2 linked regions of the Ovis aries genome follow. The protein of the gene in region 2 interacts with the protein of the main gene of each other region in a pairwise test. Links are inferred from orthologs where the notes say so. Each region holds a gene or a part of one and is shown on either strand. Other genes may lie near its edges. The genes, in order: MAU2 and NIPBL.

Evidence for each region.
Region 1: the proteins of NIPBL (region 2) and MAU2 interact in binary tests that used the Homo sapiens proteins (3 or more experiments, as listed by UniProt). The link is inferred for Ovis aries from reciprocal best matches to the Homo sapiens genes NIPBL and MAU2.

What each region holds. Positions count from the first base shown.
Region 1 is NC_056058.1:3,776,827-3,781,202, forward strand, and holds the start of MAU2 (MAU2 chromatid cohesion factor homolog), read right to left. Parts: upstream 2,948-4,376; 5' UTR 2,930-2,947; coding exon 2,654-2,929; intron 1-2,653. Other genes in the region: SUGP1 (SURP and G-patch domain-containing protein 1), read left to right, coding at 3,293-3,326. UniProt on the Homo sapiens protein: Plays an important role in the loading of the cohesin complex on to DNA. Forms a heterodimeric complex (also known as cohesin loading complex) with NIPBL/SCC2 which mediates the loading of the cohesin complex onto chromatin.
Region 2 is NC_056069.1:37,326,613-37,330,177, forward strand, and holds part of NIPBL (nipped-B-like protein), read right to left. Parts: intron 2,619-3,565; coding exon 2,344-2,618; intron 509-2,343; coding exon 334-508; intron 1-333. UniProt on the Homo sapiens protein: Plays an important role in the loading of the cohesin complex on to DNA. Forms a heterodimeric complex (also known as cohesin loading complex) with MAU2/SCC4 which mediates the loading of the cohesin complex onto chromatin.

The sequences.
Region 1 (4,376 bases), on a different chromosome or scaffold from region 2:
GAAAAATAAATACTGCATGATCTCATTTATACGTGGAATCTAAAAAACAAAACAAAAACATACTAATACATACAGAGAATAAACAAGGGTTGCCAAATGGGCAAAATAGCTGGTAGTGGTTAAGAAGCACAAATCTCCAGTTATGAAACAAGCAACCCAATGGAGATGTAATGCACAGCATAAAGAATATGCTCCATGTAATACTGTAGTAACTGTATGAGGTCAGATGGTTCCTAAACTTATTATGGTGATCATTCCACAATGCATGCAAATGTCAAAGCTCTACATACTATCCCTGAAACTAACACAATACAGTAAGCCACCTACAAACGAAACCTTCAAGTTGCGACCTTCCAAAGATGTGATTGTGTGTTCCTGTGTCCACTCTCAGAAGCTAGCTCACCTGTCTGGCGTACTCTATCACGTGAGTACACCGTCTACAAGTGGTTGCGCTCCTGTGCACTTTACTGTACAGCAGTGTACAGAGTACAGTCTCTCTATTTCAAGCCCAGGATGCTCAGAAGCAAGTACAAAAGCAGGGGTGACGCCGGTGGCACTGCTGCCAGGCCCTGTACGCCAGCTGTTGTACTGCGCCACTCTACTTTTCAAAGTACTGTACTGTAAGATTAAAACTAGTTTTTGTGTGTGTCTGTTTATGTATTATTGTATAGTATTTGTACTATAAGCCTGTTAGTACAGTACTATAAGCCTGTTAGTACAGTACTATAAGCCTGTTAGTACAGTACTATACAGTCGATTGTGTTAATTGGGTGCCTAGGCTAACTTTGTTGGACTTAGAATAAACTGGACTTGTGAATGTGCTCTTAGAACGGAACTCATTTGTATGTAGGGGATTTATTGTATTGTTATGTCAACTACATTTCAACTGGGAATTCCTCAGTGCATTCACTGATTTGTGGCCCGGGTTCAATCCCCAGTTGGGAAACTAAGATCCTACAAGCTGCACAGCATGGCCAAACAAAATTTTTTAAAACCCCATAATATTTCAATTAAAAAAAGAAAAAAAATAATAACAGGCTGAATGGCCTGGAGACCAGACAAAGGAGGTGGCAAGATTTGTTGTTAACTGAGAGAAGGGACAGCTTTATAACTAGCATCCTATTGAAGGCCCTGGGCTGCCAGGCCTGGGCAGTCACAGCCTCCACCCTTCATACACCCAACAAAGCCTGACACTTCATTTGCTCTCGGCCTCTTTGCTGTCTAGGAGAAACCCTGATATCAACTAGTCATCGACAACTGGGGTACTTCAAGGGATTGACATGAAACCTGGAGCAGTTCTCAAGGCTTGCCTCCTCCACCTCATTCAGGCCTCTGTTCAAACGTCACTCCCACAAATAGAGACTCCCTGATTACCTTTGCCAAAAATAGCTCCCTGTCAACTCCAACCTTCACCCTGGTCCACATGTTTAATGGTTCTTCGATCACTGCCTAATCTTTTATGACATATTCATTGTTTGTCTCCCTCACAGAAACACAAGCTTATGCGGGCAGGGGGACTGTTTTATTATTCACTGCTGACCCGAGGCACCTAGAACAGGGCTTGGTACCCAGTGTGAGCTGATTAAATACCTGCTGAATGCACGGAAGAAACAAACTTCACAAAAATGACGACTTAATGTCGTGGCATCCACCCTGGTGGTCTTGAGCTTACCTGTGAGACCAGTTCTGTTAATAACTTGCTGTGTGGCTTTGGGCAAATCACTTCACCTCTCAGGGACCATACTGCCTCACTCCTTACGCAAGGAAGTGGCTCAAGCAAGGACAAAAGCCCCTTCCAACTCTACAGTCTGCAAAACACAGATCTGATTATCTGCCCCAAGGCAACTTGTTACTAGCCACAGGTGAATTCAGATTTACCTCGGATCAAGACATTTTTTACATGGTCGTTGATTCTACTCAAGAAGTCTCTCCTCTAAGCTGAATAAAGCTGAGTAAATGGCAAATGGAAACACTGTCAGGAGCACAGTATTGCCCTGAAAGGAACAACTCCACAGCCCCAGAGGGCAGAGGGACGGCCACTTTCTCACATTCTTCGGGGCACCAAGACCACAAGGCATCGTGGGAAGATGGGGCCTGCCCTCTGAAGGGGATGGACCAGCGGATGGTGGAGGAAGAGAAGTCACAGGTGGTTGTGGAGAAAGCAGGAGTCCTGAGCCCTGGAATCCAAACCCTGCAACCCTCAGCTCTGCCTTTTTCAAGACGTCAAACCGTCTCTAGAGTCTGCCTCCCGCCTATGACTCCCCTCATCACTGATGGGGGCACAGTATCTTCCGTCTGGAAGTCCTCAGACGTCCATGTCCTGGGCGAGACCTTCCTAGATTTCCTCGGAAGCCAAATTCCAGATTCTCAAAGGATGCCTGGACTGTTGTTACCTGGGGTTACCTGGACCCTCCCCTATCCCGAGTCCTAGGCCTCTGCTGTCACCGGAGATACCCAGTAAGGTACGAGGCGGGGCCCTCGGATCCCCAGAGAGGCTAACAGCTTTGGGGGTCTTGCTGCTCGTGCGGAAGTCACGCCCCAGTTTCCAGAGGAGCGGCCCGTCGGCGGCTCCCGCCCGCCAGGGTCGCGGCCCGTCAGCTCAAGCCCGGAAAGGAACCCGCGCCTCCTCCCTCGCGGCCCAGCCCACGCTCACCGCCTTCTCCAGGTGGCTGCGCGCCTGCTCGCTGTTCTTGGTGTGGTGGTAGAGCACCGAGCCGAGCTGCAGATGTGTTCGGGCCTCAATGCGCTGAGGCGGCTTGAAGGGGAACACGGCCTGCAAGCAGTGCACGCACAGGCGGATCTTGGGCGGGCTGGAAGTGCGGAAGTGCTCGGCAAAGCCCAAGAGCGCTAGGTACCACGACTCAGCCGCCTCGGCCTGCGCTGCTTGGGCCGCCGCAGCCTGAGCAGCCGCCGCAGCCTGAGCCGCCATTTTAGCCTGCACAACAACAAGCCGCCGCCACAGGGAGGCGGAAACAGGCGCGTGGGGCGGGCCCGGAGCTCCTCGCCTTTCTCGCGAGAGCTGCTGCACAAAGCATCCTGGAATATGTAGTTTGTGTTTGAAGTGGCTGCGGCTTCGGGAAGGTCTGAGAAAAGGCGACATTCTCTGGTCCGCGTAACTGAGACCAGAGATTGCCGATGGCCTGAGGTTTGCGTTCCTGGGGAGAAGACCCCAGATGTCCAAGTAATGGTAGGTCTTGGCTTGCCGGGACGGACTACATCTCCCATCATGCCACGCGCACTATAACAGGCCCCCCCCTCCTCCTCCGGTGGCGCCGGAGCATTGTGGGATTGGATGAGTCTCAAGATGGACAACCGGGATGTTGCAGGTAACAGCCCCCGCCTACCCTCAAGCGTCCGCCTGGGTCCTCAGGCTACGCGTCTTTGCTTCGCTATCCCGTCGGGCCTACCTCAACCCGTTGGCCCTTAGCCTCAGCCTCCGGGCGTCTGGAAGAGGCGGCTTTTGCACCACCCCAGTCTCCTGGGACCCCCACCGAGACCCAGTTATCCTCCCCGCCCCCACTGCTGGTTTGGTGAGGACGCCAGGCTTTCCTCAAAGGCCCCCACGGTTATCTGCCCGGCGCCTGCTTTCCGAGCTGACCGCCTTAAGGGCTGCTCCAAGCTCCGCTCCCCGAGCCAGCGGCAACCTTCGACTCTTCTGCGCCCCTCTCTTCTACTAAGCTCCTTCCTCGCCTCTATCCCACTTTCTGGAAAAGCTGCTTTTCCGAACTGCACTCTGATTCCCTGTACACATTTTCCTGGGTCTTTAGAGCCCCCCTTTTACCATAAACCTTGCCTCTCCCTCTCTCCCAGTTCTGGCGCCCCGAGACTGGGATGCATTCAACAAATGTGCTAGGCACAGTGTTAGTTGTCGAGGATACAGTGGTATCCAAAATGGGGTCGTGTCTTACTGAAGGTTACTTTCACCAAGGCATCATACAATGCACAAAGAGGAAATATTTACAGAGAGTTAGTTATAGTGACTTGAGAGAGCGGAAATGCAGGCTGCTGAGATTGAGTGGTCACGGAAGGCCTTTTTGAGCAGAAGACATTTGAGATGAGAAGGTGCCAGCTATTGGAAGGCAGAGCCTTCCATGGAGAGAGGGACAGCAAGTGTAAAGGCCTTGAGGGTTTGTTATTTTGAGGAATATCAGGGATGAACTGGAAGTGGGAAGGGGGTTCTCTCTGGCAGGGTCTTCAAAATCAGCTTTCAGAGTGTGGATTTTGAGCCCCACGGGGAACCTTCAAAGTGGCTTTTCTGTCTCCACAACTACCACCCTTGTCTGAAGACACCATCATCTTTTGTTTACAGCCAGTAAGCCTCCTGGTTGTCTCGTTACTCTGTCCAATCAGTAGCTGGAATGATCTTAAAAATAAAA
Region 2 (3,565 bases):
CAGTGAAGGTGTGGAGTCCTAACCAATGGACCACCCGGGAATTCCCTGCATTTGCCTATTCTTAAAGACATTTTTAAAGCATAATTAATACACTCACATACACACTTGTTAAATGGGTATTTACATACATATATATACACGTATGTGTGTGTGTGTGTGTGTGTATATATATATATACTTGTACTGCTTCTGTAAGAAAACATGAACAAGTTGTGACACTGGTTGCCAGAAGGAAAAGGAACAGAAAAGGCTAAAGACAGTAGCCCTCTCAAAAGTATTCACATTTTAAAAAGTCATTACCAAAATGAAACATATTTTGGTTTTACTACTCACATCTAGGTACTGTTTTACTATACTCCTCTTCACATCTTCAGTGATTTTGGAATTAGCCATATCACTCCGCAGGAAGTCCAGTGTTTGCTTGGGATGAAAATGAACTCCTGTTTTCCGGTTTATCGCTTTATCGTACACTTTTGCAGATTCAGATGGAGAATATTTCTGAATTTTACTGTTTTAGGAAAATAAAACCATTAATGTAAAAAATTTTTTCAGACATTTACATTTAAATGGATTCTAGTTAAGTTTTATTTACTTATAACTAAACTTTCTGTCATACAGATTTTAACCAGTGAAACTGTATACACAATAATTTTTAAAAGGGAAGTAAAGACACAAAATCAAAGATTAAAGAGTGCTATTCTCTTGCTTTCCTCAGTGCTTGTCTTGAATCGAGGCACCTTTTAAATGAAAGTAGTTTCTCATGTCTGTTTTCCAGTACCATGACTGTGACTGTAGCATAGGTTTAATATAATCACTCAGTGCTACCTAAGTGGCTTACCTTCTTCTTCTAAGATTTTTCATTCTCTACACGGCCAGAATGATTGTTTACAGACCTGCTTCATATTATTAACAACTTTATTTCAAAATCTTTCCATCTCCTTAGCACTGCTCCAAGATTTTACAAGGTTTTAAATTATTTTGAATTACAGGCATACCTTGGAGACATTACAGGTTTGGTTCCAGACCATTGCAATAAAGCAATTATTGCAATAAAGTGAACCACATCAATTTTTTGTTTCCCAATGAATATAAAGGTTACATTTACAGCATACTGTAGTCTACTTAAAGTGGGCAACAGCATTATGTTGAAAAACGTACATATACAATTAAAAAATACTTTATTGCTAAAAAGTATCATGAGTCTCCAGTGAATTGTAATCTTTTGGCAATGGTAACATCAAAGATGACTGATCAAAGACCATCATTAAAAAAACAATGAAAAACATTTAAATATTGTTGAATAACTACAAAATGTGAGAGACACAAAGGGAACAAATGCTGTTGGAAAAATGGAGCCAACAGACTTGCATGAAGCAAGATAGCCACAAACCTTCAATTTGTATAAAATGTAGTATCTGTGAAGTGCAATATAACACAGTAGGTCCTACAGCTGCTAGTATTTAACATCAAGGTTTTTCCATTAACATCTGGATTTTCTAGTTGCCCTTGAAAGAAATGGAAGCTTTGGCCACACTGTTCCCACCTTCTCCCATGGCAACAAGCTGATGAATATCTGAACCCCAAATGTGTTCTTTTCATTGTGCTAATGACCTACCTGGGTGCACTTTATTCATTTATCTGTCCCTATGAACATTTAACGTCATAAGGTTTCAATGAATGTGAAAAATGTCCAACATTCCATGGGTACAGGCAGTGTAGTGATTGATGACGAATAAAATTATAGTGCAAAGTTATTAGTACTTTTCTATCTCTTACCTTGATAGTGTACATTAAAGACTACTGGATCCTGTTAGAACTTAGCCTAGCTGGTCTGCATCTATTTATTCTTCATTCACAGCTCTTTAAAAACTTGAATTTGCCATCTTATTTTTTTAATATTTACTTGTATTGATTTTATTTATTTTGCTGTGCTGGGTCTTGGTTGTGGCATGTGGGATCTAGCTCCTTGACAAAGGATCAAACCCAGGCCTCCTGCATTGGGAGTGCAGAGTCTTAGCCACTGGACCACCTGGGAAGTCCCTGCCATCTATTTTTAAGGTTAGCCTAATTCTCTAATATCTTTTTAGGGAAGCCAACATAATAAGTCTTTTAATTTATGATGCATTATCTTCAATTAGAAGAATATAGCTCTCCTCTCTTCAATAACAGAATGCACAAATTATGGTATATTATACAACAAAAACACTATTAGCAGTTAAAAGGAACAAACTCCTTTTTATAAAAAAGGATTTTTAATATTCAGCATGCAATCAAAACTGAGTTTCATATTTCTTCATTATTTGAAGTCAGCAAGTTTTTCTTTCACTGCTTATATAATCTTACCTATCAGAAAATCCACAGAGATTCTTCAAATGTTGTTTTAACATCAGAAGCAATAAAATACCCTGGGAGACATTTGCAAACTCAATTAAAGGAGCTGAATTTTCTGGCAAACATTTCATCACCGAATTTATATCATCTTCTGAATCCGAATCTGAATCCGAATCTACACGTTTCCGTGACTTTCGAGGCCTGGAGACTTCTTCTTCACTCTCGCTTGACTCATTTTCCTTACCAGGAGATGATTTTCTCTCTTTCCTTTTGTCTTTTACCATAGACTGAAAAAAAGAGGAAATTATTCTGTCTAAAAAATAATAAAATGAAAATACCACTAACAACTATACATATGCTTCCTTCAACAGGTTCAAACGCACCCGCAATTTAATGTTCCATATATCAAAACTCTCTTTCTGTGAACAACTGGGGATGTAACCCTTAGGGAGAAAATAATGTTCCAAGACTAAATAAAATCCACTGCAACTACTGTGCCACTCTCCCTAAACCCTTCTGGAATGTCATTCCAAGGGAAAGAATTTTCTTATACGATAGCAATGAAAGATAAATTATAGAAGTAACAATCTTGTATATAGGTAAGCCATTATAGAGGAAAAGAAGTAATTATAATTTAATTATAGGAAAATATAATAGGTCTTGAATTCCCCCACCTTCTTTTAAACTCTCCCATTTAAGAACTTTTTAGCAACATAACATGCAGTTTTTCTTAAAAAATTAAATTGTTTCTTTGTACTTTATGAAACCGTTAGCTTTTTAAAAGAAACAAAGCCAACTGGTTTCCAGAGGTGGAAAAGATCAGATTACAAAGCAATATTCAAAATACAGCTGTTAAGAAATAAAACAGGAGAAACATGAACAAGTATATTTACAACAGTTAATGAAGTAAAATAAGATAACACGATGGATCAAGTTCCTGGGAAATGATTAACCTCTTAAACCTCAATGTGCATATTAAACACCTAGGCATTTTATCAACAATGCAAACACTGTGTCAGCAGGTCTAGGGCGGGCCTAAGGTTCTACACGTCTAACAAGCTCTCAGGTGAGGCTGGTGCTACTGGTTCTGGTCTGCACTTCAAGTAGCAAGGGTTCAGATACCTCTGTAATTCTAACTCTTAGGTATTAAAATAATCTCCCTAATTTATGAGTTTGACCAGGCTGAGTTTTGGGCACAACGATACTGTAAAATGAGAATTTTTACTTGTATCAT